4 linked regions of the Bombyx mori genome follow. The main gene of each other region encodes a partner of the protein of the gene in region 2 in a complex. Links are inferred from orthologs where the notes say so. Each region holds a gene or a part of one and is shown on either strand. Other genes may lie near its edges. The genes, in order: dynein regulatory complex subunit 3, dynein regulatory complex subunit 4, dynein regulatory complex protein 8 and dynein regulatory complex subunit 7.

Region 1 (6,998 bases), on a different chromosome or scaffold from region 2:
TTTCATTTCTATCTATTATGTTCGATTTATCTTGTACAATTTCAAACAAATTCAATTTGTTTCATTTTCATATTACATATTATAACCAAATATGTATAATAATTCAACATTTAACTATAAATACTTTACATAATATTTTACGTAATAATCTTATTCTTAAAAGTATTTTTTTTTGCCTACCTAAGCTGAGTGCCCTGAGAGACCATTTCAGCGTAACCCTAACGAGTAAGTGAGCTCACGGGGCTCAAACTTGACGACGTTGCTAACACTAACCCTAGCAAGAGCAGTGTTTCGCGTAAAGGTTCGACGAGAATTAAAAGTCAGAAGAGAGCACTGTTTGTTTGTTTGAATTATATGATATTCATGTTTTATTAATCTTACTAGCGACCCGCCCTCGCTTCGCTTCGGAAACATTAAAACACACATGAAACCAAAAAAAAAAAAATAAAAAAAAATAAAAAAAAGTAGCCTATGTTCATCAGGGACAATGTCGGCTTCTAATGGAAAAAGAATTTTTCAAATCGGTCCAGTAGTTTCGGAGCCTATTCGAAACAAACAAACAAACAAATCTTTCCTCTTTATAATATTAGTATAGATGTGACAGACTATATAATAATAATTAATCAATATATTAATGTCAACACTACAATTAACCCTTTGCGGTCTAAACTATATGTCTCAATATGTGTAGACTCTGAACCTCAAAGGGTTAACAGCAGTTTCATATTTCCAGGGTCATGCACCTGCTGGTGGATGTCTCCTGTCAATGTCCTGTGAATACAGAGCTATGGTCACAGGGAAATACAACATTGGTTTGAATGAAACAGCATTGGGCATTGTTGCTCCAAAGTGGTTTATGGACACTATGTGTAATACTATATCTAAGAGAGAGGCTGAATATGCACTCACCACAGCTAGAATGTTCAACACTGATGAAGCATTGAAGGTAAATAATATAATAAAATAATAATTAATTAATTTTGTAAACTTCCTTTTATAAAAATGAAGGGGTGTGAGTGAAGATGTGTGCAAAGAAGTTATTTTGAAAAGTTTAACATTATCAGTGCAGGGTTATCATAGACATCAAATCAAATTATCTTGCCTTGGAAAATATCTCCTGGCATTTAATATGAGAGTGATTAATGTTCAGCATCCCTTACAGGAGGTATTTCGAGTGCTTCTGAGTCATTAGGGTTGCTTCAGTGGCTTGTTAGGAAAACGCATCCAAGTAATGCCCTCATTTAAAAAAATACGATTATTTAGTAAGGATTAAATTAAATATAAATTTATGTTCCATGGGGAGTGCTCTGAGGAATTGTTCGAGATGATACCGGCATCTCGTTTTTACCATCGCACCGCCCGCCACCGGAGTAGAGTTCATCCATACTACCTAGAGCCACTGCGGTCATCCACAGTGCGTTTCCAGAGGTCTTTTTTGCCACGTACCATCCGGCTATGGAATGAGCTCCCCTCCACGGTGTTTCCCGAGCGCTATGACATGTCCTTCTTCAAACGAGGCTTGTGAAGAGTATTAAGCAGTAGGCAGCGGCTTGGCTCTGCCTCTGGCATTGCTGAAGTCCATGGGCGACGGTAACCACTCACCATCAGGTGGGCCGTATGATCGTCTGCCTACAAGGGCAATAAAAAAAAAAAAAATTATTTAGTCTTATTGACAAACCATGTAAATTTATTTTAAAAGTATATTTACTTTAACAAAAACTGTGAATGTACCGCACATGATAAATTTTTTTAAGGTGGGACTCATCGACGTTTTAGCTACAGACAAGGCTGATGCGGTTGATAAATGCAAGAAGTTTATAAAGAAATTCGACAAAATCTCGCCTATAGCTCGTGCTTTAACCAAGCAAAAGATCAGGGCAGAACCTTTGACGTGGCTCATCAAGAATCGTAAACAGGACACTGATGAGTTTTTAACTTTTGTACAGAACCCGAAAGTACAACAATCGTTAGAACTTTACATTCAAGCTCTCAAACAGAAATCTGCTAAATAAATGCCTAATCACAATTATGTAAATAAAACATGTATGTTGTAATTATAAATTTTATAATTAAAATACTGTTCATTTACTTTTGAGTATTTTTGAACATTCTAACAAATTTTGTAAATAGTAGGAATTTTGTATTATATATTTTAGTCATTTATATAAATACAATTTTATACCACTAAAATATATTATCTATGATGTTGATTTAATAAGTACTTAGAATTAGTGTTGTAATAATTGTCATAGATATAAAAGTGAATATAAGACTACAATAATAGAGACACCAAGCATGAAATGTAGCATTGACTTTGTAAATGACCTCAAGTAACCATTGTATGACGTTGAAATGGAACGTTGATCCCACAACTCAGTAGACTTCAAATTGTGCCAAAACCGTGTACAATATGAAAATAATTAGAATATGTACTGTTTTGAATTTTTGATATGATTTACATTGTACTGTTCTTGTTTTACATGTAATATTTATGTTTTCAATAAAGATTGTTAAATCGTAAAAATATATATTTGTATTTCTATACCCTGTAAAATGGTTTATTTACATAGAAATAAATGTCTAAAATTTAAGTCATTGGATCACCCTTAATACTCACTACATCTTACTAGTGTAGTACCACTTCATTGGGTCAGACCATAGACTCTTCCTATTATTTTAACAATAAAAAGTTTTCTAGATTAGATTAGTTATATTTGTTTTGTACTGAAGAGTAGCACCGTTTTCTGAGCATTAATTATACCACCGCATTCTGATCATCAACTTAAACTTCCCAACTCTTATCACCAGGATAGGGCATATGGTGGGCCCGTAGTTTATTTCTGCCGCGAAGTAATTAGGAGTAGGTTTGAAGGGTGAGACCGTTATGAAATATAGTGGAAGACTTTGACCACACGTTTCGAGGTGAACACTCACGCTCTGTAGTCTGTGGGTTCTGGAAATCTAGACCAGTGCTTAGTGCGAGTTTTTTAACGTTCTCGATAGCGTAAAAGTTAACCCAATTTTGTATGCAGCTGGAACAGCGCCCCTAGCGGCAAACGATCCCATTCCATACAAATATACACTAACTTTTACGCTATCGAGAACGTTAAAAAACTCGCACTAAGCACACAGGTGGGGAGAGTGAGATCGTCACCAACACAACTATAAAAAAAAAACTATTAAAAAACAAAACAATGTTTTATTAATATTGAATAATTAATATGCTATTTGCCACACAAATATCTACAACAATACCACCAGGCCTCGTCCTTAGTTTTTTAAAAGTCATCACCAAGTAAGGCGACCGTCTCCGGGTCTACTATTTCAGTAAGTCCCATCTGCATATCAGTCCACTCCTCTCTTTGATTGTCTATGTAGTAATTTATCTCTAATATACGATCTCGATTACGCTTTACTTCGTTACTGAAACATAACCACGTAATTGTAAGTAATAGAACGCTATATATTCAAATTATTGTGCAAATAATAAGTATTTACCTATGAAGTTTCCGTTTTAGAATACTGGCCATTTGAAACGTACCTAATGTTGTATAAGTAAGCAATAAATTCCAGATCCAGAATAAATTTCATTTTGAAATTCAGTCCTTTGTTTATTGGATCGGTGAAAACATTATGTTTGTACATTTCTCATGAATATGGATACGATATTAACATGAGAAATTATGGTAAACGACTTTCGTCACGGTAACGATGCCGCACAAACAAATGGCTCACAACATTAATACGTGTCCGTAGTAAACACTACGAACTAACACACCACTCGTTGTTTTGAACGATTCAAGCATGGAAATTTTACTTTAAAAAATACACCCAGTGGTCACCCGAAAACTAAAGTCAACCATTGAAATACGTACTAAACAAATGCTCACGATATGCAATAACATCGTGTGATAAAATTCAAACCCGCTAAATTATAATTTGCGTAATTACTGGTGGTAGGACCACTTGTGAGTCCCTGCCTATTTCTGCCGTGAAGCAAGTAATGCGTTTTGGATTATTGAGTGGGGCAGCCGTTGTAACTATACTGAGATCTTAGAACTTATGTCTCAGGGTGGGTGGCGCATTTGCGTTGTGGATGTCTATGGGCTCCGGTAACCACTTAACACCAGGTGGGCTGTGAGCTCGTTCACCCATCTAAGCAATAATTTTTTTTATTAACGATCGCCAACGCAATAACGCCTGTACGCCAATGTATGCCTTGCGTTGCTTAAAAGACAACGAAACGAAGAGATTGCGAACCTCCTTCACGGCAACGCTCGCCCTCATGCGACACAACAGGACGGTCTCTTAACTATAACAGCTAGGGTTGGAAGTTTTGTGTCATCTACCGTACTTACCAGACCTTGCACCGACAGATTTCTACTTTTTCAAAGTTTGAATAACGACTTTGTACTAAAAATCGAATACCCGATATGCAGTACAAAATGCCTTTGATGAGTTTATTGGCCCCCTAACTTCTTTACACCAGATTTCTTCAAGAAGAGCATTGAAAGATAACCAAGGAACTCGTAGAGATGTACCGATTTGGGTATATATTTAGATTGATAGTTTGGGGTTAAACGACAAAGAGATTGATGGATCCGTCCACTGAGCGGGTGAAATTCCTCGGTAGACAACAATAAAACTTTCTGTATACATAACGGCAATTTCGTAGGTAAATACCTATTAATAAAACCGTGCAAAAATAAAAATACATTATTTCATTTGATTAATCAGAAGACACAAAAGCATTTAGCATAAATTACTGTCTATAAAAATGTAATACATAAAACTTAAAACTGTTTCGAAAAACGAATACTGTTATATATGAGTACCAAAGCCTTACGAATAGCAGTATGTCGAAACCTAAATCTCAATAATAGTGGTAAACCTCAGTACTGACTAAAGACGCCGGTGAAAGAAGTTGCAGTGGTCATTGACCTTGCTTATTAAGCGCGATGACTTGATTTAACTGTTTATTATTAGTGTAGTCTGCATAGATAAGATAAGAGTAGCTCTCTGTCGCGTAGCTAAATTAGTCCCTTAGGCTACGAGCGCTTATGTAGGGAAAAATACATATTGACAATGTTTTCTTTATTATATAGTACCTACTTAGGGACTTAAAATTAGAAATAGATAAACTTATTTATTCCTTAATCTGACAACGGAGCATGTATTTTATTTTATGAGCACCCAGACTATATTATTCCTTTTACACCTTATCAAAATGGTACATGTATTAATTATTTTTATTGTATTTTTATAGTGAAGGAAGGATCGTTCGATACTCACTCATTAGTGCCTTGTACAAGTTCATCTCGCCAGTTGTTGGCACGGGTCATGAGCAAATCCTCGCGTCCATCAATAAAACGCATGTGGTTATCCGAGGATTGAGCCACTAAATTCATCATTAAATCTCGATCCATCATCACCTGCAACACGACAAACTTATCAAGGAACAGAGAACTTAAATTTGAACAACACACCAACAATTGACAAGATTAAATTGCTTAAGGAAGAAGAATTAGTTTAAAAAAGTTGAGAAAATGTATCTTAAGTTTAAACAAGGATGAATTGGAAACTGTAACAAAAACGAAAACATAATTTGATTGAGTTCCTGATTCCTAATACACTATTGTTAATAATATCGATATTTGTAACGTTTTTTACTACTGGTAGGACGTCTTCTGAGTACTATTTCTGGCGTGAAGCAGTAATGCGTTTCGGTTCGAAGGGCGGGCCAGCCGTTGTACTGTAAAAACTGAGACCTTAGAACTCGTGTCTTAAGGTGGATAGCGGTATTTACGTTGTAGACGTTTATGGGCTCCGGTAACCACTTAACACCAGGTGGACCCTAAGCTCATCTACCCATTTAAGCAATTACAAAAAAAACCTATCACACAATTTATTGGCGGTCTTATCGTAACAGGGCGGCGCGTGCCAGCTAGATTTGCATTACATTGCGGGTCACTTTATGGCATAGTAGGTACATTTCACCTTCAGCATTGAAAACGTTTCACGATGTAGAACCTTGATTTAATTTAAAAAGTGCAACCAAGATCTCAACTGTGTGTAAAAATGTGAATCAACCTCAAATAACTCTGGGGGTACGTCTCCCAAGATGAGCTTATTCCCAAGGAGCTTTGACAGCGCCTCGAACTGTCTCATAGACCAGACGCCCTCTTGTTCGCGCCACGCTCCGAATGCGTTACGAGATACCTCCAACAGTTTCGTTACCATTTCCGTTATGTTAACAGAAAATTGTACGCGAGATTCCTGTGATTAGAAAATAAAGCTGTCTAAAAAAAACTTAGGCTTAGCAAATACTATACTGTATCTTTATTATGTACGTATATATCTTTCGTCTTTAGTCTGAAAAGTGTTTTGTCACATACATCGTGATAACTCACAATGTCTCCAGTCCTTAATACGAAGGCTAGAGAAAACTTAACCTGTTATACCCCAATAATATTTTCATCACAAAAATTGTACAGAAGAATAATAAATACCATTTAATATTAAATTCTAACAATGACATCTTAATTTTATGTTTTATGAATCAATTAATTTAAAAGAGGATGTTTTTATAAAAATTTACTAAGTATTAGGTTTTATTAGGTAGATACTAAATAAAATTAAATACCTCACACTGCTCGTAGAGCTGCATCTCTATGGTCATGAGACTCTTCCACAGGTGGTAGAGGACCTCATTGAAGGTCTCGCCGAGGTCAACTATCAACGGCTCAAGCTCCTCTATGGTAGCTTGCTTCGTCGTGAACCTGTTTATGAATTCTTGCATTTCATTTACAAGCGGCCTCTTTTTGTTTTCGTATTCAATAATGATCCTATTAAATAAATAATCTTCAATCGGCAAATAAAACAATCAAGTTTCAACTTTTTAGACTAGACTTTTATATTTGATTTGAGTGATATATAGGTATGTATGTGTATGAGAGACATATATTTAAAAAAAATTATTATATTATGTAAAAGTACCC
Region 2 (8,467 bases):
TAACTTTTACGCTATCGAGAACGTTAAAAAACTTGCACTAAGCACAATGGCTGATCGCTGTGAGATCTATCAGATAGCTTGATCTTGAATGGTACGCAGTCGCCCGGCTCTGCCAATGTCATTATCAATGATCTTAGATGGTGGTGACAGCTTATTACGAAAAAGGAAAAAAGGATTTACAAAAATATTTTTTGGTATTTACAATTTCTCTTCAGAACAATTTAGATAGGCACAACTTTTGCAATTATATTATACAATTTTTTTAATTTCTATTTCTAACATTGATCTTTCGTCACTAATCCTGCTGGTCCTTGACCTATTACAGGCGATACTCCGGCCACCGCAACGGCTTTTAATGGTCTGAAAAAAAATATAATACCTATAATAAATAACATCTTGGGTTTTGTAATAGTGACATCTCGTGGATACGTTTTGTACTATATAAACTTTTTCTCATAACATTAAATTTCCAGTTCATAAATTTTGCAAACAGCGCCATCTGTTACTATCACGATAATACACTTTCAAACGTTTCAATTTTTAAATATTTTCATTTTATCAAACTAGATGTCGCTTGGATAAACTTTATTTATTAGTTTTCATTAAACACCATAGATGGCGCTAAATTTAAATTTACTCACTTGAAACCGAGTTCTTCTGGAGGCACTCCTAATTTCACTAGTTTCGCTTCGTAAGTCGCGAGTAGATCATCATGCGCCTTCCGAAGTCGTGCGGCTTCATACCGAAGATCTTCTACTTGGGTGTCTTTGAGTTTGAGCAGTTCCTTTTTAAATTAATTAATACTAAGTGAGTACAATGTAAAACCCATGAAAAAGTTACTACTGTTAAGAGGAAGTCTTTTTTTATTTAGCGCATACATAAGTGGACGAGCTCACAGCCCACCTGGTTTTAAGTGTTAAGGTCGTGTTTCCGATCCGGTGGTAGATTCTGCGTAGCACGGCTCTTGCTAGGGATAGTGCTAGCAACGTCGTCAGGTTTGAGTACCGTTAGCTCACTTACTTGTTAAGGCTACGCTGAAATGGTCTCTCAAGACCATCAGCGTAGGTAGGAAAAAAAAAGGAAGAGGGGCGAAACAGCCGGATTCATTTATCGGTAATAAAAATATTAACTCACATGCAATTCTCTCGGTCCTAAATCTCTTGCTTCCATATTTTTCAACTTGGTTTCCAGTAGGGCCGTTTTCAACGAAGCCCTCTGTTGTACTTCTAGTACGGCCCTCGAAAATCTAGCCTTCAGCTCGTCTCTTTCAGCTAGCACTCTGTCGAAGCGTATTTGTAGCACTTCGTATTCCCATTTCAAGACTTCGAACTGTTTCTCTAGGGTTGCTAGCTGTTTCGTTTTTGCCTGTATTTTAATATAGTTATTGATTTAATAAGGTGGATGACGGCATTATATATTATGTACTTAACTGTAAATGTTCACGATTGACTTCCACGGTGAAGGAATAACATCGTGTAATAAAAATGAAACCCGCAAAATTATAAGTTGCGTAATTACTGGTGGTAGGACCTCTTGTGAGTCCGCACGGGTAGGTACCACCACCCCGCCTATTTCTGCCGTGAAGTAGTAATGCGTTTCGGTTTGAAGGGTGGGGCAGCCTTTGTAACTATACTGAGACCTTAGAACTTATTATGAAGGTGGGTGGCGGTATTTACTTTATAGATGTCTATGGGCTCCGGTACGGAATAGATAAATAAGGTTGGAAAGGCCTTTGCTCTAATTTTGTATTAGAACCAGTGTCGCCGCTTCATCCCCACTATTTTAATTTCTACACATACACACACTGTGATTACAAGTATTTCGCACACAACAAAAACACCCACACATAAATCTCAGGACAGATATTCGTTCGCAATTAGCACAAAACACCCGTAGGCATACACACTCACACACGCAAAAAGGCAATAAAAATGTTCATACACGCTAGTGCTTGGTAAAATCGATATTCTTTATCGATAAATTATCTGATGAATGAATGGAGAAAATGAAACATGAAATAAATATTGAAAAAAAAAAACTATTTTACTTTTATTAATTACAAATAGTCACTGTCGCTGGAATAAAACGTATTTGTTAAGCAGTTGGCGCTTGCTATTAATTGCGAATGAATTTTTCAGAACTAAGTGTATTATGATTTTTTTTATGGTAAAATCATTTTCAGTAAAATGTTTAGAGCAAATAGTACTCGTCTTTGTCTCCAGTTTCCTCTACCTGTCACGTCAATCCATTGTTCCCTGGCGTTAGGTTCTTTAGGAAACCTAAAATTTTTTATTTACTGCATAAGTCAAATGGCATTTTATTTAGATTTTAATACGTCTTAGACAATATAGTAAATACCCGTAAATGAGAGGTCTACATGTCCCTTTATATTATACCTTCACTTTAATTCAATGATAATAATTCAATAATAATAATACATATTTATTTTACTCAAAATACGTCTCACTAAGAATATACTAGGTATCATTAATTAAATATAAAATAATGCAAAAAATATCCATGTCAAATGTAAATATAGTCGAGAATTCTGTCGATGATTTTATTTCACCACATGGTCACCTCACTATCGACAAACTAGCGCCGTGCACCACGGCCAATCAGGGCAAAGGCCGAAATTTCAAAGATTGAAGTGTAGAGAACGCAATGCATGTAGTACATTGGAAGCTGACTTGGTCATTGCGTTCATTGGGCGAGTACACATCGCGCAATGTATGCTATTTATAACTTGCTGCAATAATATTGTTAATGTTTGGAATTTCATAATGCTCAGTATATTTTTATGTTTTAGACAAATAATATTGTAATTAAATGGTAATTTCGACTTACCGATCGAAAGATATACCTCCTCGCTCTATACTTGAGGTCTGATTTTTTGTTTTACAAGTTATAATTGCACAACACGGCACTATAAAGCGGAGATCTGTTCGCCCAAATATTCCGAAGCGCACTAAACGCGGTGAATGAAAGAATCGGTCGAGTTATGTTTGTTCGATCATAACAGTGGCACGCTTGCCCCGCCTACATTACCATTCCAACCTTATTTATCTATTCCGTGGGCTCCGGTAACCACTTAACACTAGCTTAACACTAGGCTACTAATACTCACAGCTAAAGCAGCTTTGTCCCTATCATAGTTTGACATTTGCCGTTTCAGTTCCTTGTTGTCGATGATGGCTGCTTCTAAAGGCTCTCGAAGACCTTTCGCTTCTGCTACTGCATCTCTCGCGATCTTCTCGGCGCGTTCTTTAACTTTCTGCATATCTTCCATCTGTTGCTTGAGGCTACTGATTAAGCCTTTAGATAAAGAGCAATTTAACATTAAAATTGGATATTTATTTTGGGTCTGCAAATTTATATCACAATATTTTTAAGATTTTTTTTTCATAATCAAAGAGGAATCTTTTCCTGGAAAACTTTTAGCAAACGATAGTATCGTTAACAATTACAATTCTTTTAAAAATATTGAAGTATATATTATTGAAGTTACATTTTGAAACTGCGCTAAAAGATAATAAAATCGTAAAATTTAAGCTCTTACCCAAATTGTTCAAAGTGATATCGTTGTAGTAGTTCTTTAAGTCGGCAAAAGCTCTTTCGTGATGGGCTATCAATTCAGACAGCTGTTTATTCTTTCTCTCTTCAACTTCAGCTATTTCGGTTCGATGTTTAACTGTCAACTCTACCTTAGTTTCTTGAAGCTTCTTTTCAGCTTTTTCTTCTATTTGTCTTGCTTTTTCTTCAAATTCTGCCCTCGTCTTAGAGAGGTCTTCGGCATGCATTAATTTAGCTCTCCGCAGTTCGTCTTGAGCAGCTAGTGCTTTCTCTCTCATTTCTTGTCTTAGTGCTCTTTTGTCATTCAAAAGCTCGAGTTCTTGTTCAGCGTGTTCTTCTTTAGCAGCTTTTAAAGCCACGAGATTTTCCGCCCTCAAAGCGGCTGCAGCAGCTTGCTGTTCGTACTTTAGATGTTTTATCTTCTGTTTCTCCGTTTCAAGAAGCGCTTCATTTTCTTCTTGTGCTTCTTCTGTAGCTCTCTCTCGGTTACGAAGTTCAGCTTTAGCTTCTTCTAGTTGTTGTCTAGTAATTTCCCAGAATGTTCGGATCTTGTCTCTTTCTAACTGAAAGTAGTTGCGTTCTTCCCTTTCTTTGTCTAATTCTTCTTTCACTCTAAGAGTGAATTGTTCTAGTTTCTCTCTTGTCATTTCAGAAGTGTCGACTCCATCAATAACGATGGCTGAAACAATACATATATTTTAAGTTTTAAATTTAAATGAGTCGGAGTATTAATAATGAATACATTACAGTAGGGCTAATGTCATATTGCATTTAAACTTATTAGACAATTAAGTTTTACCTGCCGCCTTCTTAGCACCGCCTTTTCCTCCTTTGGGCGGCTGAAAAATATTATAAAACATTGTTAAATACTCATTAGAATGCTTCCTCAGAACATAATGTAGGTGAAGTTAATAATGGAGCATACTCACTAGCTAATAAAGTCAATTTATATATAAATTCATTTTGCAATCAGCGGGTGTGGTAGTCATTTTAACACCGGTATTATTTCTTATAAAAAACAAAGAGTAGCAGCTTATCTGGTGGCCCTTCCCTACTTATGGCCGGTCAAACCCGAAATGGTCACTACCCAGATCTAACCCAGGATTTGATTCCAAAAAGTAAATAAAGACTATGCCACAGTTTTGAAGGGATCCAGACTATTTAAATAAAGAATCAACTTACCATTTTGTTTATTTATTAATATTTAAGTAGTGTGATAGTTAAACTGAATTTGACAACAAATAAGGAAGACACATCGTTGTCATGGATTGTGATTAAACAAAGCAGTTGTCATAGCAACGGTTTCTACGACAATATTTTTCTATTACAATACGGGCTATATATATACTATATCATTAGTTAACGTGTTATAAGCTAAATATAAAATCGGTTGTCTGTAAAGTCGGTCAGTTGAACGTGACAACGTCATAAGAAAAAACTGATGGAATGGTTTCATTTTTCAAAAGAAAATTTTAATTTTATTTTGTTTGATAGATATTTTGTATGGACAATTGACACAACAGTCACTTTTCACTGAACTTCATACTTGACGAAAACATGAAAATGTATTATTGTATAGCAGCTGTCCACGCGGGCGCATCGCTCACTCAAGTAGGAGAGAGACAGATGTCGAACGCTGTTGAACGCGGAAGCCGATTTTGCCTCTTTGTCGCTCGTTGCGCGCTCTCGCTTGCACTTCAAGCCTTAAATGGAACGCCTCAATGAGTCATGTTTTTTCGTGCGTGCAGCCGGCTCCATCGAATTTATAAGACGTTGTCACGTTAAAAAGTTTAAAGTAAATGTTTTATCTGATTTAGTCGAATAACGGCCCAGTTGAAGGCGAGTGGTTACTATCACCCATGGACATTACTAATGCCCAGAGCACAGCCAGGTCACTGTCTAACTCTGAATCAAGTTTAAACAAGCAAACTCAGCATTGGTTTTTCTTACTTATAGCGCTTGTATGCGACTCTGTGTGATAGCACTAATACTTAATTTTCAATTCGATTTGTTAAAGATTTTGTAGGTTTTTTTGCACAGAATCCTATCCCTGAGTTATCTGCCATTGAAAATGGGTCTAATCGCTTCAGTGTTTAGAAAGAACAAGAGACAAAAATTAAAAGCTATTATCATAATCAAGTATATCGGGCGTTTTGTAAAGAGCTTGCCTATATCTGCCGTGAAACAGTAATGCTTTCCATTTTGAAGGGGTGACATCCACTTAACACCAGGTAGGTCTTGAGTTCGTTCACAAACCCAAGCCACAAAAAAAAAATCGGCGTGAAAAGGCAAGCCGTGTTCTATTTACATTTCAAAATAAGCAATCACGTTGACACCTGTCAAAGATGTCATGATTTGACTTAATTTCATTTTACACCACTTTTACACTGACAAATTCGACGTGCCGCACGCTATAGTATGTGAAAGTAACAAAATTTTAAAATTTTCCGTTCGCCAAATCAAAATGCTGGTACAAACGTTGAGCACTTTGATGTACACTTTCGTCTTTTTAAGTTTATTCCTGGTCGATTATTTGTTAGGCAATGGTTTCGTTGATATGTTCCAAACGATATTCTGCAAGATAGCTTGTTTCGTGAAGAAAACATTGCGAGAGGAGGCGAAAAAAACGCAATTGGTTGGCAAGGAGAATCCGATTAGCATTCCGGTCATATTCATCGAAATACTGGTTTTGTCATTGACTATTGCCGTGAGTATTGTCGAATTTGGCATCTTAAAACCAACGGCCATACAGTTCAAATTAAAGTTAGTGTTGTTTAGAAGTATATCGAGCAATATATTAATGTAAATTCAGGTCGTATTGAAAACCTGTAAGAATAAGTCCTCAGAGGCTTACAATACGCTAAAAGACCCGAAAATACCCGTCGGCCATCGCGGTATGTCTTTTTTTTCCCCTACCTATGCTGATAGCCTTGAGAGGCTATGTCAGCTTACCCTAGCGTGTGTAGGTGAGCTCACGGGGCTCAACCGGAGAGTTGCTAACACTGACCCTAGCAAGAGCAGTGCTTCGCAGAATCTACCACCGGATCGGAAACGCGACCCACTGAGAAGATCCGGTGAGAAACTCAGTGGGCTGTCTATGGGTGAATTCGTTCGTCGAGCCCTTCGTCGCAAGCGACGGGTTAGACGGGGACGGTGACCGGTGCTTGTGGTGCCTAAAAGCACCGTTAATGGATCAGGAGGATCCGTAATGACGTGCTTTGGGCGACGTCGACGGTTTACCATTCGGTCTACAGGGTCGGGTATGTAGTTTCCAGCGGCCACGACAAAGTATTGTCGTAATTGGCACCTTAAAACCAACGGCCATACAGTTCAGATTAAAGTTAGTGTTGTTTAGGAGTATATCGAGCAATATAATATTATAAAGTCAGGTCGTATTGTCAACCTGTCGGGATAAGTCTTAGAGGCTTACAATACGCTAAAAGACCAGAAAATACCCGTCGGCCATCGCGGTATGTCGGAGTGATACTCTGAGAATGCAGCTGAGCATTCACAGGGGAAAGCATTAGTATCTTTTTACGGCACCCCGAGAAGAAACGTGGTAGTTCCATTCCTAGTTAATACCACACAATAATTAACCAGAAAAATCTGTGAATTACTGATCAATGTGTGAATTCTGATCAACTGTATCTCTACCTGTTGTTGACAAAGAAACGTTATCATTAACGTATAGCCCTTATTTATGATACAATAAAAAAATCGAGAGGTGAAAGGCTATTCGGTTTAAGCGACATTTTTGAATATTTACCGGAGAGCCATTTAAAGTTTAAAAGTTGGAAAAAATACCATGAAAAATGCTTCTTTCAGCTATTTGAATCCAATTCGATTTGTTAGATTAAAAACATTGAATTATTGATCCTAATCTATGCATATAAATAAAATTAGAATGTCTGTTTGTATTATTGAAATAACCGCTTTTTACTACATGCATATAAATATTTATACGGTGCATACACTAAAATAACATTTTTTACAATTTTTGTCTGTTTGTTCCCGCTAATCTCTGAAACGGCTGGACCGGTTTTGATGAGACTTTCACTAATAGGTAGCTGATGATATATGGAGTAACTTAGGCTCCTTTTTTTAGACTAGCTTTAACATGCGGCGTCACCCGCGGCACGACAATAACCGCGGGTAACATCGCGGGACTCGGCTACCAATAATAACATTTAAAGTTTCCGAAGCGAAGCGAGGGCGGGTCGCTAGTACTAAATAAAACGGACCTTTGATAACATAGATAAATGTCACGTGTCAAGCGAAATGTCGCTTGAACCACATAGTCCTTCACCCCTCGAAATAGACTAACATAAAGTAATATAGATTGACGAATTTTTACTCAGGAATATATTTTAGGTTGTGTGTGTGTGTGTACCTTAATATTTTCCTTGTTACGTTTCAGTTCTTAAACAAGTACAAAAAGTATCGAGCCAAAGATCGTATAGATGAGTTACTGAATGAGAGCAAAGAGGCCATACGTCAGACAAACGAGTTTCTAGAGAAATGGCGACTGCGGAGGGTATCGGCGCCTTTAATGACCTCACGAAAATATCCCCTCGATTCAGTATCACGCTTAGTAATGTTCAATTTGAATTAAAAGTAGTTATGAGAACGAGGTACTGGTGGTAGGGCGTCTTGTGAGTCCGCACGGGTAGGTACCACCGCCCTGCCTATTTCTGGCGTGAGGCAGTAATGCGTTTCGGTTTGAAGGGTGGGGCAGCCGTTGCAGCTATACTGAGATCTTAGAACTTATATCTCAAGGTGGGTGGTGCATTTACGTTGTAGATGTCTATGGGCTCCAGTAACCACTTAACACCATGTCAGCTGTCCACCCTACTTAGATGGGTAGATAAATAAATAAAAAATATTTTATTATTGG
Region 3 (8,348 bases), on a different chromosome or scaffold from region 2:
GCTGTTTTATTTCTTAAAAGAATAGTCAGGAGTTCATTTTAAATATATCAATTCTGCTTACTAAACCGTAGGCATCAAACAATTTTATGTTCGTTCTGTGTCATTTTAATTGTTAATCTATGAAGTAAGTCGTGACATCGCAACGACACTGCGTAATATATATCCGTCTTGTTTACGGTCTTGATAGTTAGCATGCTATCTTTTTCACACATTACAACCTTGTCAAGTTAATTCTGCTCACGCGGCTATATGATATTATCATCAACTATTGTCGATTTAATTCGTCCGCATAATATCGTATTGTTTAGTGTGTTTATGTTTATAAATATATATAGGTACATACGCCGCGGACAAGCTTGACTTCGTATTAGTACTAATATAACGTATCTACCTCTTTTTACTATAACATCATTGTTCATTGTTCCTTGTGATTGCGAGTTTATCACGATAAATAGCTGTTTGTTTAGTTACTGGTGGTAAGGCGTCTTCTGAGTCGACGCGGGTAGGTACCACCATCCTACATAATATCTGCTGCGAAGCAGTAATTCGTTCATATTTGAAGTGTAAGAGAACGGTTACAAATTAATGAACCGAAATATTAAATTAGACTTTCATGTCTCAAGGCTGTGTGGCGGTATTCAAAAAGTGACGTCTATGTATTTCAATGTGCTTAGTGCGAGTTTTCTTACGTTCTCGATGGCGTAAAAGTTAACTCAAATTTGTATGTAGTTGGAACAGCGTCCCTAGAGGCAAACGTAAGCAAACGTTCAAACTCCATACAAATTTGAGTTAACTTTTACGCTATCGAGAACGTTAAAGAACTCGCAAATTAAGCACACATCAGCTGCGTTATAACAGGTAGGCCGTGAGTTTGTTCAGACATCTATTAATTAAGAATATAAAAATTATATAAAATCGTGCTCAACAAATTAATACTATGTTCTGTATCTTACTTATACTGCTTCATTACCCACTGATCTCTGTTATACTTGCTAAACAAAGGACGACTGTCCACCACAAGCTATGAGCTATGCTATATTTAGCGAAATCACAATTCGTCGGGCGCTACGATAACTCGCGTTTATCACTAAAATCTATATGTTAGTGTTCATTGAAGCAGAGCTTTGCAATTCAATTCTGTAGAATAAAACATTACTCGAATCACAATATAGTGCAATGACGCTTTTGATAAATACACTGCAGTCATTAAGATAGAATCTGTTTACAAAAACTAAACAAACCTTATTTTATTCATGCACATTACATTGGCAAACTTAGTGCCCAAAACATTTTCTACTAATCGACCAAGGATGATATAGAAAACCTACTACACCTACTACAGGTGCATTAATTAAAACGAAAACAGATGCTTTTCTATTATACTATACAATATACCAGGGATGGCTAACCGGTAGCGGTAGGCGGCGGGTTGACTCTGCCCCTGACATTTCTGAAGTCCATGGGCAACGACAACCACTCACCATCAGGTGGGCCGTATGCTCGTCTCCCTACAAGGGTAATAAAAAAAAGATCGCAATCGACCGGTCGATCTTGGCTATTAATTCAGTCGATCGTCATTATCATCTTCTTCATCATTCTTTCCTATTACCCTCTGCTGGGGTGTAGGGCTCGAATCAAATTTTTCCATTTACATCGATCGTGGCAAGACAAAAAAATATAAATACATAGAACAGACTGCGCAACGTAATCACCAATTGCTGCACGCATCATCTTCATCTTGTATCATTAAATGATAATTGTATCATTGAAAGATACATTTTTTGTAAATGACAATTACCTCACATTATTTATTCTCTCTTCCACGCAATAGTTCTCTTTTATTGTATAATTTCAACTTTATGTTAATCTTTTCAATAAAAGAAAATATACTACTTATTTGTATACTGAACTGCATTGTTTCATAAATTTCAAGAAATGTCATTGGTAGATCGTAGTGCTTATGTAGTGCTTCGACAGTAAACAGTTGATCTTGATTCTAATCAAGTTGGCCACCCCAGCAATATACTAACTGTGCATATTATACCAGCAGATAATATAAAATAAATCCATATCTATACTAATATTATAAAGCTGAAGAGTTTGTTTGTTTGAACGCGCTAATCTCAAGAACTACTGGTCCGATTTAAAAAATTATTTCAGTGTTAGATAACCCATTTGAATCCTACAGGAAGGCTATAGGCTATATAACATCACGGTAAGACCAATACAAGTGGAGCACCAATAAAGAATGTTTCAAAATAGGGGTTTAAATAGCTCCATAACATTCTATAATTCAAAAATATTTTCACTTTCTACGTAAATGAAGTGGGGGTAAAATTTAGCGTTATGCCAAAGTAACTATTCCACGTGGACGGAGTCGCAGGTAAAAGCTAGTTATATATAAAATCAACAAATTAAAATAGATACATAGAATATTATAAATCTTAAACTTTATAAGATAAACTAAAATATAAACAAAACAACAAAATAGAATGCGCTCACCATAAGTTGGTTGATGTAATATTCGTACATTATTGTATCTGTTACAGGATCTAACGCTGTTTGCATCATTTCATCGTACTCCTCCTGTATCATGAAAAAAATGAGAGCCATAAGAATACTCGTTGAAATTTAACCGAGTCAATTCATATCCATATACAACAGTATAGTATTTGTTAGCATAACATATAACACGGTATTATTTTATAATAACTAATGTTATGGATTATTGTTGTATAGTGTTAGGATTATTAATTATAAAAAATAATGTTATATTATAATACGATTCGGTATAAATAAAAATTCTATCGAAGTACGAATTGAAACTGTGTTATCTCTTAGAACACTTAAAACACTTCACAAACACGAGAGACTATTTCAGTTTCGCCCTAACATGAAGGTTCACGGGGCCCAAGCCTGAGTGTTGCTAACACTGGCCCTAGCAAGAGCAGCGCTTCGCAGAATCTACCACCGGATCGGGAACGCGACCCACTGAGAAGATTCGGCGAGAAACTTAGTTCGGCGAGGACTGTGACCGGTGCTTGTGGTACCTAAAAGCACCGTTAATGGATCGGGAGGATCCGTAATGACGTGTTTTGGGTGACGTCGACAGCATCTCTGCAACGCTTATAAAGTCGATACGACATCCCTAGAATCGTCGAGAACATTCCTCACAAGTCGAGCACTTTCAATGCGTGCTTCCGCTACCTGACAATAGATGGCGTTGTACTTTTCGAGCGTTCTAGATGTTGCTATCATTTGGTATTCGTTTCGGCTGTTCAGCGATAGATGGCGTTACTCTTACCGGCGTAACAATATATTATACGACATAAAGTGAAGGCAGCCGGAAAACGAATTGTTTTATTTAAAACTAGCTGACCCGGCAGACTTCGTAGTACCCCAATCGATAAATAAAAGACCGACAGGGGACACATCAAAGGAAAAACAAAATTGTTATTTTTATTAAATTCCGTGCATTTTCATATCTATCTATCTTTTAAATCTTCGCTCGACTTCCACAAATAATTCAAGACCAAAATTAGCCAAATCGGTTCAGCCGTTCTCGAGTTTTAGCGAGACTGATTAACAACAATTCATTTTTATATATATAGATATAGATAATAATAAGAAATTTTAAGGTACCTGCGTAAATGACTCTCCTTCTTCCATCATAAGCTTGGCGAACCTCTCTTTAGTGAGGTACCCACGTCCCTCCGTGTCAAAATATCTGAATGCAGCCAACAGCATTTCAGCGCTCGCCGGATAAAACCTGTCCCATTAATAAATAAAATACCTGACATAATGAACATTTTATGGAAAATTAAATTAAAAAATTCACGTACGAAAGGTAGAAAGCTAACATCAAAATCTACTTATCTCGGTGATCAATGGCGTAATTGGCTTTGTCAAAAATTCCAACGTTTCCATAAGCTACAATTTAATGGCATAAGCACCACATGATGCTTAGGCTAAAGTATAAGTGTAGGTAATTTATTTCGTAGTAAACGCAATACAGTGAAATCCAATTGTTCTTTGTCAATTTTTGATATTAGCATAGTCGGCCGCGTTTTAATTAGAAACAAAAACCTTAGCCACAGCAACGTGTGGCCGGGTCTGCCAGTATTATATTAAAAAGAAGATATGAAAAATAACAACGAAGATTGAGCCACACTGTCAAAATTTTAAAATTGTTTAACCTTTTTAATTTTAATATTACAAACCTATGTTCTATCATGACTTTACACATGTAAGGTAAAAAGTTCGTTAACGGAACGTTTCCAGTTGCTTCTTTGTTTTCCGTTGCTAAAATCACCTCTTGTATCTCGGCTTCAGTTGGACAGCAACCTTTAAAAAACATATATTTAACGTCTCTTTTGCTATATTCAAAATTTACCATGTAAACAGTCTATTTAGTACTCAAACAGTTATCCGCTTAGAAGTTTCCAAAACAAAAAACGGCCTAAGGGTCCGTTCACACAGACCGGCTCGGAGAGGAGAGCACCTTCATTCCGACTATTCCTCCTAAATAATTTGTAGCGACTCGAAGACGTGAATAATCACTGTCATACTAAAATTGAGATATCTATTATCCTAAAAGGGTGAAAAATTGGAGCACGGAAAGCAAAATGATGACTTTTTTCATGCGTAATTACGTTGTAAACACGGCTATTGTATTCTTACGATATTTAGTATGATTTCGCGATACTTCGGCACTGTTCCAAGCGCCATCGGCTACTCGTGGTGACTCGTGTCTTTTAATTTACCGTGAGAGTCAGAATTTTTTAAATACTCTTTATTACACTAGTAAAGTATTAAAACATTTAACGAAAACCAGAAAAAAAAGCATTACCCAAAGATCGAAGAATTGTTCCTATTTCCCTTACATCTACGACTTGCTTCCCAGAATGGTCAAATACTTCGAAAGCTTCAATTATTTTTTTCTCCAAATCATTGTTTGGTTGAACTAGAAAGATACATTTAAGGTATATGAGATATACCAATATATGACATATATCAGATATTATACCAGACGTAATATCTATTTACCAATAAAAATGTTTGGTTTTGTTTAAATTTCAACTAATAAATGTATTTATGTATGTATTCATTTATAATAAAATTTAATGAGTGATACTAAATTACACAGTATTTACATCGCTCGTTTATAAATTATTAAATGTATATAAAGTAAATCTTTCAAATAATAACTAACTTTTAGGTTCCTCTTTTCTTGCCATAATGAACTAATAGTTTAATTATAAGATTTGTAACACTAATAAGTACACGTATTAAATTGAAAAAAATATTCCGTAACCAGGCAACACAACCTATCAGTTATCACTAGTGTCATCGACGAAGCTTTAGTTCTATTTTGCACCAGAGCTGCTGTAAGTTAGTATGTATATATGTGACGGATGCTTTGAACATGATTTTGACCCCCTTCAAAACGTAGACTGAAATCAAAATTTGACATAGGTACTTATCAAGGACCGTTGACAATGCAATATTTTAAACAGTTAGACCTATTATCCATAAATTAGTTTTTTTTAGGATTAGCTCCCAGTTTTAACAGCTCCTCCACAATATTGACAAAGCTTAATTCAACCAATGTACAAATTAATAGCTTATTGTTGACATGTTGATGTTTAATTGTCGTACCACATTCAAAAAATATTAGTTAAAAAAAAATATATACTTTAAAAAACACAAAAATATGCTTTTATAGAAAATCAAATAGAAAATAAATTCATTGTAAAAACAATCCAATCTATACTGATTAAACAGCAGGCTTCCAGACTTTTGAGTAGTATGGATAAGAAACCCTTGGCCTTTTGAATTTTACAACAAATAGCTTATTCCAAAAAATTCTGGAATCGCCAATCCCCACCATAGATAATATACCGCCATTTCCTTCCGTTATGCTGATGCGCCGCTAAATCGCCATTTTGGATTTAGTTGGCGCTTTTTCTGTCGTGAATTTTCGTTCAGATAGTAATAGAATTAATATTATTTAAGCACATGTGTTTTAAAAACTTTAAAGTGTTGTGAAGTGGATACTATCAGACGATTAATACAATGGATCCTGCTAAAATGAAGGTGGTGGACTTGAGGTCCGAGTTGGGTGCTCTCGGGTTAGATACGAAGGGAAACAAGCCGGCTTTGGTAGAAAGATTGAAAAAAGCACTCGAAGCGAAAACTGGAACAGGTTAGGATTTCAGATGTAATTATTTAATGCGTAATGTACAGTTTTTTAGTAATGTTGCTGAAATTGTTGTTAGGGACTTTTTTAATTACTGCACGTGTACATTTGTCGATCAATCATGGATCATTGTTGCACTGTTGTTTCCACTTTAAGAGATTTAGTGTGATTCTTAGTAACTTTAACTTCCGTAGTAACCATACATCAGTTTGCTGTCCCATTTAGAGATTTGCAAACACACCTATTTTAATATCTGACGCCAAAATCAAGGTTACGACTTTATTCACACTCAAGCATGAGATAAAATCGCATAAAAATCTAATAATTTATTAAATATTAATGTACAGCATCATTAAGTTTTCGAAGTATTTTATATGTTTTTACTGATACAACGACGCATATCAGTTATTGCAGTTATTCCAACTGAACAGTTCAAATCGTAATCGGTTTGAAAACTTCGACATCGATATCAATTTATGTATACACTGTTTTATGGGAAATTCATTCATATGATTATTCTTAGGCTTAATAATAGGTAAGAAGAGCTCGATTCTGCAAAGTAAAATAAAACGAAATTCAATCAAATCAGTTAAAAGCTTTTTTTGCACAAAATGTATACGTCTTTTTGCTTCTAATGTCCAGATATAGTATTTTTAGGTATAGAAGTAACTTTAAGGATACAACCTTGATTAATTAATGTTTTCCTCTAAGGTCTTCAACGAAATTATTAACTACTGTTATTTTATTTAAATTTGCTATCAGATAATATGTTGATTAGTATGAAATATTAAGACTAATATTTTCCAGAATTGTTGAAAAAAGCATGGGTAGCAAATTAATTTATTCATCACAGTCTTATAGATAACAAAGATAATATACAGAGATGGTTTTTAAAATAATAATTAAGTACCTAATCTACTAAATAAAAATAAATACCATACTTTGTTTATGATCTGTGTTTTAAAAGCAATGTTTATCATTAAATTGATGAAGATTACAATGGTCATATTACTGTCAACCTTATCTAAAATAGGTTGCATGCAATATGTTACAAACACAGAAAACTTATTATTAAATAATAAAATTAAGTAAGTTTGTTTCAACTTTATTTTGTCTGTGGTGGATGCTTAGTATTGCAACAGATATTATAGAGTTCAATAAAAAATTATGGAGAGAAAAAAACAAAAAAGTCTGAAATCACACTGTGGATGCAGAGAGAATTGAATGCATAAGTGGTATATGATATTTCAGGGAAATGAGCAGGACCCTAGTGCGACTTGTACCGGTGCTTTGCAAAACAAGTCTTTGTTCAGGTGCGAAATAATGCTTCATTCTGTTGAGGATTCCCAAATTTTACAAAGCAAAAAATGTCATGTAGTATTTCAATTACAATTAATATTTATTATCAGACTATAATAGAGTAGGTAATACCTAGAACATTGTTAATGAATGCAATGTTCGATTATTGTGAACATTTTAAAATTGTTAGTTAATATATAAAACATTTTCAACAACAACATAAAAACATTATTGAAGAAGTAATTTTTTATTTTAATTCCTTTAAAACACTAACAGAGTTAATATAAGAAAATCAACCATTAGAACTGGCCAGAGTGCTTAGTGTAAGTTTTTGAACTTCTCAATCATGTAAAAGTCAACTCAATTTTGTATGGGGTTGAAACAGCGCCCCTTTGTTTCTCGCTAAACGCATCAATTATGCGACTGAACAATTACAGCCCTTATGGAAAGTAGTTTTGTAGAACATACAATACTGTATTTAGGATAGTATATAGTATATATAGGGTTAAAATAATTTATTAAACTATTAATTTAATATCATAAAAAGAATGTATGTACTAAAAAAATTCATCTAAATTATGAAATTAGAGATTAAGAGAAAACAAGCAATGTAGTGATTAATTCACATGCAAAACTACTTCAAATGAAAACAACAGTGTTTTAAATCATTTTGTTCAAAGTAATCACTATGGTTGTCTTTACCATTTTTGTAAATAGTAATGAATGCATAAATAAATAAAATAAAAGGTTGAGTGCTGTTTGTGTAAACAGTAAAAAAATGTTATTTATTAAATTTCAACAAGCATATAATAATTTATGTACATCCATAATAAATAATTATACAGAATAA
Region 4 (7,889 bases), on a different chromosome or scaffold from region 2:
GAGGGCGTAATACACTTCCAAGTCGCGGGGTTGTTTAGCGTTCGGGTCGGCCTGTAATTACGCGAATTGGCGTACACGGCGAATCGCATTACATTATTTACAAATACCTACTAGTGGTCCCCCGGTAGTCGAAATTCGACTATAATTAATTGAAATTATAAGATTGTACACTATTATGATTCTATTGTATTAATTTTGTGTACAAAAAAGAATACACTCTCTCCCTCTCTCTCTTTTCCACCTTCTTCCTCCTCCTCTCTCTCTCTCTCTCTCTCTCTCTTTCTCTCTTTCTTTCTCTTACTTTCTCTTTCACCCTCTACCTCCTCCTCTCTCTTTCTTCCACCCTCCCCCTCCCCCTCTCTCTCTCTTCCACCCTCCCCCTCCCCCCCTCTCTCTCTTCCTTTCTCTCTCTTTCTTCGTAAAAGTTTGTTTAACGCAACTCACGATATACCCGGAGGTTTTGTCGGGATAGAACAAGATTTTCCCGCCGGTCTCAGCCAAGTTAGGTTTTATATAGCTCCTTGTGTTGTTAGTTACGTAATTGTACGCGTATTGGTACAGCAGTTCTATAGTATTGTCCTGGAGGTGGAAGATCTTCTTCCAGACGTCTTGCTTTGATGGGATCTCATGGTTTCTGCTGTACGTCTCAGTTACGTCCTTTATTTGACGTTTAGTTTCTTTCGTTCCTTCTGTATATATTACTAATCTTGATTCTAATCTGAGAACAATCCGAGAATGAAGGATTCGAAAGTGATTTAAGGACCGCTTTTAAAACTTGTCTAATTTTTTATTATTTAAGTGGATTACCGGAGCTCATAGACATCCACAACATAAATGCGCCACCCACCTTGGGATATAAGTTCTAAGGTCTCAAGTATGCACACGGCTACCCCACCCTCTAAACCGAAACGCATTACTGCTTCACGGCAGAAATAGGCAGGGTGGTGATACCCACCCGCGCGGCCTCACAAGAGGTCCTACCACCAGTAACTACGCAAATTATAATTTTGCGGGTTTGATTTTTATTACACGATGTTATTCCTTCATCGTGGAAGTCAATCGTGAACATTTGTTGAGTACATTGAGTTTCATTAGAAAAATTAGTACCCGTCTGAGATTCGAACACCAGTGCATCGCTCAACACGAATGCACCGAGGTCTTATTCGTTAAGCCACGACGACTTCATGTAATGTTCTTATTGAAAAATCAATTTTGACGCTGAATTAAACGCTGATAAAAATACTATAATTAGGTAAATGATGATAGGAAAAGACAACGGCCGGTCTGATCTAGTGGCTGCGGGAGTCGATGAGACCAAAACTTCAATCACTTTTCCTACTTCAAAATACGAGGTCAAAATATCCCTTGGACTTCAAATCGTGCTGACAAGCTCCAAAAGCATTCTAACGTAAATTTGGGACAGCATTAAGAGTGTACCTGTCGCTTCTGTTCGAATAATATTCATCGAATGTAAGGGTAGTGCAGACCAGCCTCGTGAGGTGGTCAAGTCGGGCGTAGTAATTGAACTCCATGGTCCTGACTGCCTCCACAGAGCCGACCAGCGCGTCCATGGAGTACACGTGCTCTGTGGAACATTTTTTTCCATAGTAAAACTTTACGATTAGTAGGTAGACGAGCTTAGGGTGAGTTTTTTAACGTTCTCGATAGCGTAAAAGTTAACTCAAATTTGTATGGAGTTGGAACGTTTGCCTACGTTTGATAGCAAGCCAAGGTGGGTGGCGCATTTACGTTGTAACCACTTAACACTAGGTGGGCTGTGAGCTCGTCCACCCGGCGTATGGCTCTGGTATAAAGTTGTTTTTTTTCGAGTTACGACAATTCCGCTTTCCTCCATCAATACAGCAAGCTAATAAAAGCGTATTGAAGAAACCAAAAACACAATAATTACTGAGTAAATGATCCCTCCTTCCGATACCGAACGTCTCGCGTATCTCACGCTTCGTGTGATCTATTCGAACGGTTTCCATTTTGTCGACGCGATGCTTGTACCACTCGTACCTAGAAAACATTCCGTTATCTGCATTAATTTAATTTAATTGGAATTTTAAACAACTACAGTGCCCGCCGATAAATGCTGCCCATCGACATTTGGAAAGCAACGATCGGCTAATTTCGGCTTCATAGAACGTTATCTCTGTAGAATATTTGTAAGTAACACGTTCATTGTATTTTAATAGGACAACTTAGATGTATGTTTATCTCTTTCCTAAATCAAATTGATCTTACAGCTATGGAGCGTAGAAGTAAGGAGCATCATTTTGGTGTATTAAAAAGTGTCCGCTGAAAGAGAGCCAATTAAGGGGGCGCCACAGTAGCTAGTGGAAGGATTTTAAAAACACCGCCATAAGCTATCACACTTCATTTCAATCCAGCCCAGTTCACTCTGTTTAAAACTAAATAAATTCATATCATTTCCATTTCTTACGCTGGTGCTATTTCGGTGATTCTTCAAACAATAACCTTCTGATTACAGGTGGACACTTTTTTTTTATTGCTTATATGGGTGGACGAACTCTCACAGCCCACCAGGTGTTACAGACATCTACAGCGTAAATGCCGCCACCCACCTTGAGATATAAGTTCTAAGGTCTCCGTATATTTACAACGGCTGCTCCACCCTTCAAACCGGAACGCATTATTGCTTCACGGCAGGAATAGCCAGGGTGGTGGTACCTACCCGTGCGGACTCACAAATAATTTTGCGAGTTTGATTTTTATTACACGACTAGCTGACCCGGCAGACTTCGTAGTGCCTCAATCGATAAATAAAAGACTTAAACTTTTGTATAAAATAAACTTAAAACAAACAAAAGGAATCCGTTCGACGGAGGACATATCAAAGGAAAAACAAAATTGTTTGTTTTTATATAATTCCGAGCATTTTCATAATTATCAACCTTTTAAACCTTCTCTGGACTTCCACAAATATTTCAAGACCAAAATTAGGGAAATCGGTCCGGCCGTTCTCGAGTTTTAGCGAGACTAACGAACAGCAATTCATTTTTATATAATACTAGCTGACCCGGCAAACATTGTTTTGCCATAATATATAAGATTTCTAGGGAATTTCTAGTGTAGAAAAAAAAAAAAATAATTTATTGTAAGTGTGTAAGGATGTGGTAAATGAGTGAAAGAGGTATGTAGTGTTGTGAACGATGAGGGAATATATAATAAAAATAACAAAACCTCATTCAACCACATAATACCTCAATAAAAAAAAAAAGTCCAAATAAAAAAAATATGTTAGGGGTGGACAACCCTAATCACTTAGGGGTATGAAAAATAGATAGTAGCCGATTCTCAGGCTTACTGAATATTCATAAAAAATTTCACGAGAATCGGTCAAGCGGTTTTGGAGGAGTATGGGAACGAACATTGTGACACGAGAATTTTATATATTAGATATAGATAGATGTTCAACTGGTTCCCTATACAAGATGCGTGCTCATTACTTCTACCTCTCCATAGCTACAGCCTTCGCACGTCAGAGAAGTCTAGGGTTCTCTTAGCGGTGGTGACGAGGCGTATTAGGCCTCGTTTCTGGACTGTGTAAAGTCGAAGACGCACTCACGTGATCAGCGGGACGGTCAAAGCGTAGTCCTCAAACGTTCTGATCCTCTTCACTACACCATCCCTCTCGGAGTAGGGCGAGAACTTATCCAGTAAAACTTTCTTGTAGTGTATCACTTTGTGGCTGCCCGGATATCTTTGACCGTACTCTGATAAGGGTATTGCTTTGTTAATCCTTTGAGAAGCGTGCAGGTCACCGGTGCTCTACGCGGCGTAGTAGTAATTATGTCGATTTCTGTTACTAAGGCGCTTGGATTGTCCTTTTTTTTATGTCTTAGACGGGTGGACGAGCTCAGAGCCCACCTGGTGCTAAGTGGTTACTGGAGCCCATGGACATATACAACGTTAATGCGCCACGCACTTTGAGATATGAGTTCTAAGGTCTCAAGTACAGTTACAACGGCTGCCCCACCCTTCAAACCGATACGCGTTACTGCTTCACGGCAGAAATAGTCGGGGTGGTAATACCTACCCGCGCGGACTCACAAGAGGTCCTACTACTTAAATACACGATGTTTTAGTTTTTTAGGTATCTTACGCATAGATTCATTCTCATTACCTTCGGGTTCGTCTTTCCCAGTATCGACTAGATATTCTGTCGCGTTAGCAACAGTAAATCGATATAAGAGTCGTCTATTATCAAAGGTGGCAATCTGTGCATTTGGACAAATTTTTTTTATTGATATGTCAATACAGATTCATTTGAATATAATCGTCTCCTTCAAAGAATACGGTTCAAAAACTGCATTAAATAAAGGTTAATACTTAAGCTGTTATTTATCTAAGATGTCGTTCAGAAGAGTTTTGTGACTGCCAATGGAATACAAAGTCAATAATTCGTTTTTCTGATTTACCAATAATTTTCCAAAAGTCACATTGCTGGCTTTGATAATAGTCGACTCATAATTACTTCAGTGCGCTACGTAGAGCACAAACCGGGCCTAAGACTCTTACAAGTTAACGTCGCCAACCACCCTAAATTCCAAGTAACGGATATCCCGTTCGCTTCAGATTTACAATAGACAATAATCGACTCAGAATTGCGAACGTAATTTTACCATCAGTACTAATCTCCAGTTTCTCAACCCAGCTGACTGGCATATCCAGATGCTTCTCTGTTTGCACAGCTGTCTTCTTGTCGGCGATGTCAATGCCGACCATCTGCCTCCGATGGTGGGGCTCGCCGGCCAGAAGATGCTCCCACGCTGAGAGGTCGCTCAGATCATAATTCAGGCTGTCCAACCCAATGTCTGTGCTTTGGACGTTTGCCTTAAAAAAAGTTGTAGGTAGGTATGTAGTTGTACTCTTTTATTTATTTCTTAACACCACACAGGTGGTACCAACAAATTCACTGATAATTTTATTTATTTAGCGATAGTCAGAGAAAGGTGATGCATGTGACTAGGAGATGTATGGAAATGGTAGTGCAAGGTAGAGGGGGAAGAGGTTGACGAAGAAGACAGGGATGAAGTGTGTGAATGACGATGAGAGAGAGAGGAGTGAGTGTTGAGATGACGCCTTTTTTTTCATACCTAAGCTGATGGTCTACAGAGACCATATGAGCGTAACCTTAACTAGTAGGTGAGCTCACGGGGCTCAAACCTGACGATATTGCTAACACGAGCCCTAGCAAGAGTCGTGCTTCGCAGAATCTACCACCGGATCGGAAACGCGACCCACTGAGAAGATCCGGCGAGAAACTCAGTGGGCTGTGTCTGTGGGTTAATTTACTAGCCGAGCCCTTCGTCGCAAGCGACGGGTTCGACGAGGACGGTGACCGATGCTTGGGGTATCTAAAAGCACCGTTAGTGGATCGGGAGGATCCGAAATGATGTGGATAGAAGAGAATGGAATAGAAAAATTCTCTGTGCCGACCCCAATAAGGCGGAGATAAAGAAGAAGAGTCAGAGAAAAGCGTGTCCAGGGCTTAATAAAAATTAAAACTGCCTAGTTCTAGAAATATAATACACAATAACTCAATAATTAAAATTATTATAATTAATGTTCCATTACGTATAATTTATACATAGTACTCGTGATTAATTTAAACCTAAAAGCTTTTTTAATCGACCGATTAAAAAATACTATCAATTTGTTGAAATTCGACACAGGAATTCGCCGGTTTTCAATAAAATTTGCAGTTGAAACTCACATAGTAGTTTTCGTGATTGTACACGCTGTCTATGAATTGGTATTTTTCTGAGTCGAGGAGATGACCTTCGCCTTCGCTCGGCTCTATGAAGAAAGGTTCGTCGATTCCCATGTATCCCGGCAGCACGAGGACCCAGGCGTGAGTTCTCCACCCGTTAATAGCGTCAGCCGGGGCTTTTTCCAAATCCTGAAAACCAACGATTATTATTATTATTATTTTATTGCTTTGATGGATGGACGACCACAGGCTCCCCCTGGTTGTTAATTGGTTACTGGAGCCCATAGATATCTACAACGTAAATGCAAGTTACAACGGCTGCCCCACCCTTCAAACCGAAACGCGTTACTGCTTCACGGCAGAAATAGGCAGGGCGGTGGTACCTACCCATGCGGACTCTCAGGTCCTACCACCGCTAAATAGGCAAATTATAATTTTTCGGGTTTGATTTTTTGATTATACGATGCTATTCCTTCAACGTGGAAGTCAATCGTGGAACATTTGTTAAGTACGTATTTTATTAGAAAAATTGGTACCCGCCTGCGGGATTCGAACACCGGTGCATCGCTAGATACGAATGCACCGGGCGTCTTATCCTTTAGGCTACGACAACTTTAGCATCCAACGCCAACAAATTACACCGACAAACGCTACAACTTGTACGCTTCTATCCAGCTTGATGACCATGAGGTCTAAATCTCATTCGTAACTGTCCCATCCCTTAATGCGCTGGTGCTATGAGCCAAGAGCGACGTCGAACTATATGACAATAACAAAAAAAAGTAATACACAAATTGATTCTAAGTATTGCGGTGTGGATGCTACTGGACGAATTTCGACCGCTTGGCTGAACACTTGATTAAGTAAATACTCCAATCTACATTTATATACATATACATCTATATATATAAAAATGAATTACTGTTCGTTAGTCTCGCTAAAACTCGAGAACTCGATTTGGCTAATTTTGGTCTTGAATTATTTGTGGTAGTCCAGAGAAGGTTTAAAAGGTAGATAAATATGAAAATTCTCGGAATTATATAAAAATAACGACTTTGTTTTTCTTTTGATGCGTCCCCCGTCGGACGGATTCCTTTTGTTTGTTTTAAGTTTATTGTATACAAAAGTTTAGGTCTTTTATTTATCGATTGAGGCACTACGAAGTCTGCCGGGTCAGCTAGTACTAGATAATTACTTCTTATAAAACAGGTATCTTATGTTATAAATAACATAGGACATTATTATTATACTGATTATACTCCAACTAAAAATGATGTAAGCACAGTTAAGTACATATCTGTTTAATTATTCTATAAATTTTTATGTGGATTCTGAAGAGACCTTAAATTAAATATGCATAAAGATGCTAACAGCAATTTTACGAAGTCGCTCTTTCTCGGTCTTGTTCAGTTCAGCTTGTTTCTTATCATCGGCTTTCTTGTCCATATCACGGCAGTACTTAGAAGTGAGATCCGGTAGGGGCACCAGGCGATATCTGGGCTCTTCGTCAGGTGGTGGAATTTCTTCTTTTTTCTGGATACATAAATGAAGGTTAGGTTCACTGATGGTAGGACCTCTTGTGAGTCCGCACGGGCAGGTACCACCACCCTGCCTATTTCTGCCGCGAAGCAGTAATGCGTTTCGGTTTGAAGGGCGGGGCAGCCGTTTTAACTATACTGAGACCTTAGAACTTATATCTCAAGGTAGGTGGCGGCATTTACGTTGTAGATGTCTATGGACTCCAGTAACCACTTAACACCAGGTGGGCTGTGAGCTCGCCCACCCATCTAAGCAATGAAAATTGAACTTTTTTTACTGCGATTCCGATACCGTATAGCAGAGATGCATTCGCGAAGCAGTTATCCTTGAGCTGTTAGGTTAGAGGAAGCTTCAGATGCAGCAGGCTTTTCCTGTTAAAACGCAAGGCTTATAAACGCAAACCACTATCATTCCATCCCCAAAAAATATTTCATATTTCAACAATCACGTAAAAACCGTTACCCACCTTGAAACATGGAATCTATAGCAAAAATCCCGCACCTTCAAACTAAAATTATTTAAAATTTATTCTTACCGAGCATGGTAGAACCCATGCAATTTTTGTCTCCAACTCAATATCTCTTATTTGGGCGGTACCTATTTAGGCACT

What was found.
Region 1: dynein regulatory complex subunit 4 (region 2) and dynein regulatory complex subunit 3 share a complex: the UniProt entries of both Homo sapiens proteins name them as parts of the nexin-dynein regulatory complex. The link is inferred for Bombyx mori from reciprocal best matches to the Homo sapiens genes DRC4 and DRC3.
Region 3: dynein regulatory complex subunit 4 (region 2) and dynein regulatory complex protein 8 share a complex: the UniProt entries of both Homo sapiens proteins name them as parts of the nexin-dynein regulatory complex. The link is inferred for Bombyx mori from reciprocal best matches to the Homo sapiens genes DRC4 and DRC8.
Region 4: dynein regulatory complex subunit 4 (region 2) and dynein regulatory complex subunit 7 share a complex: the UniProt entries of both Homo sapiens proteins name them as parts of the nexin-dynein regulatory complex. The link is inferred for Bombyx mori from reciprocal best matches to the Homo sapiens genes DRC4 and DRC7.

The regions. Positions count from the first base shown.
Region 1 is NC_085117.1:10,143,588-10,150,585, forward strand, and holds the end of dynein regulatory complex subunit 3, read right to left. Parts: intron 6,846-6,998; coding exon 6,644-6,845; intron 6,277-6,643; coding exon 6,091-6,276; intron 5,433-6,090; coding exon 5,293-5,432; intron 3,424-5,292; coding exon 3,279-3,423; 3' UTR 3,180-3,278; downstream 1-3,179. Other genes in the region: enoyl-CoA delta isomerase 1, mitochondrial, read left to right, coding at 734-946, 1,755-2,012. UniProt on the Homo sapiens protein: Component of the nexin-dynein regulatory complex (N-DRC) a key regulator of ciliary/flagellar motility which maintains the alignment and integrity of the distal axoneme and regulates microtubule sliding in motile axonemes.
Region 2 is NC_085113.1:2,415,684-2,424,150, forward strand, and holds the start of dynein regulatory complex subunit 4, read right to left. Parts: upstream 4,920-8,467; 5' UTR 4,759-4,919; coding exon 4,756-4,758; intron 4,413-4,755; coding exon 4,373-4,412; intron 4,253-4,372; coding exon 3,560-4,252; intron 3,316-3,559; coding exon 3,128-3,315; intron 1,366-3,127; coding exon 1,135-1,365; intron 785-1,134; coding exon 642-784; intron 361-641; coding exon 276-360; 3' UTR 1-275. Other genes in the region: uncharacterized protein LOC101744974, read left to right, coding at 6,038-6,280, 7,991-8,164. UniProt on the Homo sapiens protein: Component of the nexin-dynein regulatory complex (N-DRC), a key regulator of ciliary/flagellar motility which maintains the alignment and integrity of the distal axoneme and regulates microtubule sliding in motile axonemes.
Region 3 is NC_085130.1:5,993,309-6,001,656, reverse strand, and holds the start of dynein regulatory complex protein 8, read right to left. Parts: upstream 5,371-8,348; 5' UTR 5,238-5,370; coding exon 5,213-5,237; intron 4,964-5,212; coding exon 4,850-4,963; intron 4,345-4,849; coding exon 4,221-4,344; intron 3,770-4,220; coding exon 3,643-3,769; intron 2,826-3,642; exon of another isoform or gene 2,587-2,825; coding exon 2,503-2,586; intron 503-2,502; exon of another isoform or gene 159-502; intron 1-158. Other genes in the region: heterogeneous nuclear ribonucleoprotein U-like protein 1, read left to right, coding at 6,076-6,205. UniProt on the Homo sapiens protein: Component of the nexin-dynein regulatory complex (N-DRC), a key regulator of ciliary/flagellar motility which maintains the alignment and integrity of the distal axoneme and regulates microtubule sliding in motile axonemes.
Region 4 is NC_085131.1:3,588,975-3,596,863, forward strand, and holds part of dynein regulatory complex subunit 7, read right to left. Parts: intron 7,274-7,889; coding exon 7,112-7,273; intron 5,930-7,111; coding exon 5,744-5,929; intron 4,861-5,743; coding exon 4,650-4,860; intron 3,741-4,649; coding exon 3,593-3,740; intron 2,020-3,592; coding exon 1,910-2,019; intron 1,586-1,909; coding exon 1,438-1,585; intron 719-1,437; coding exon 445-718; intron 52-444; coding exon 1-51. UniProt on the Homo sapiens protein: Component of the nexin-dynein regulatory complex (N-DRC) a key regulator of ciliary/flagellar motility which maintains the alignment and integrity of the distal axoneme and regulates microtubule sliding in motile axonemes.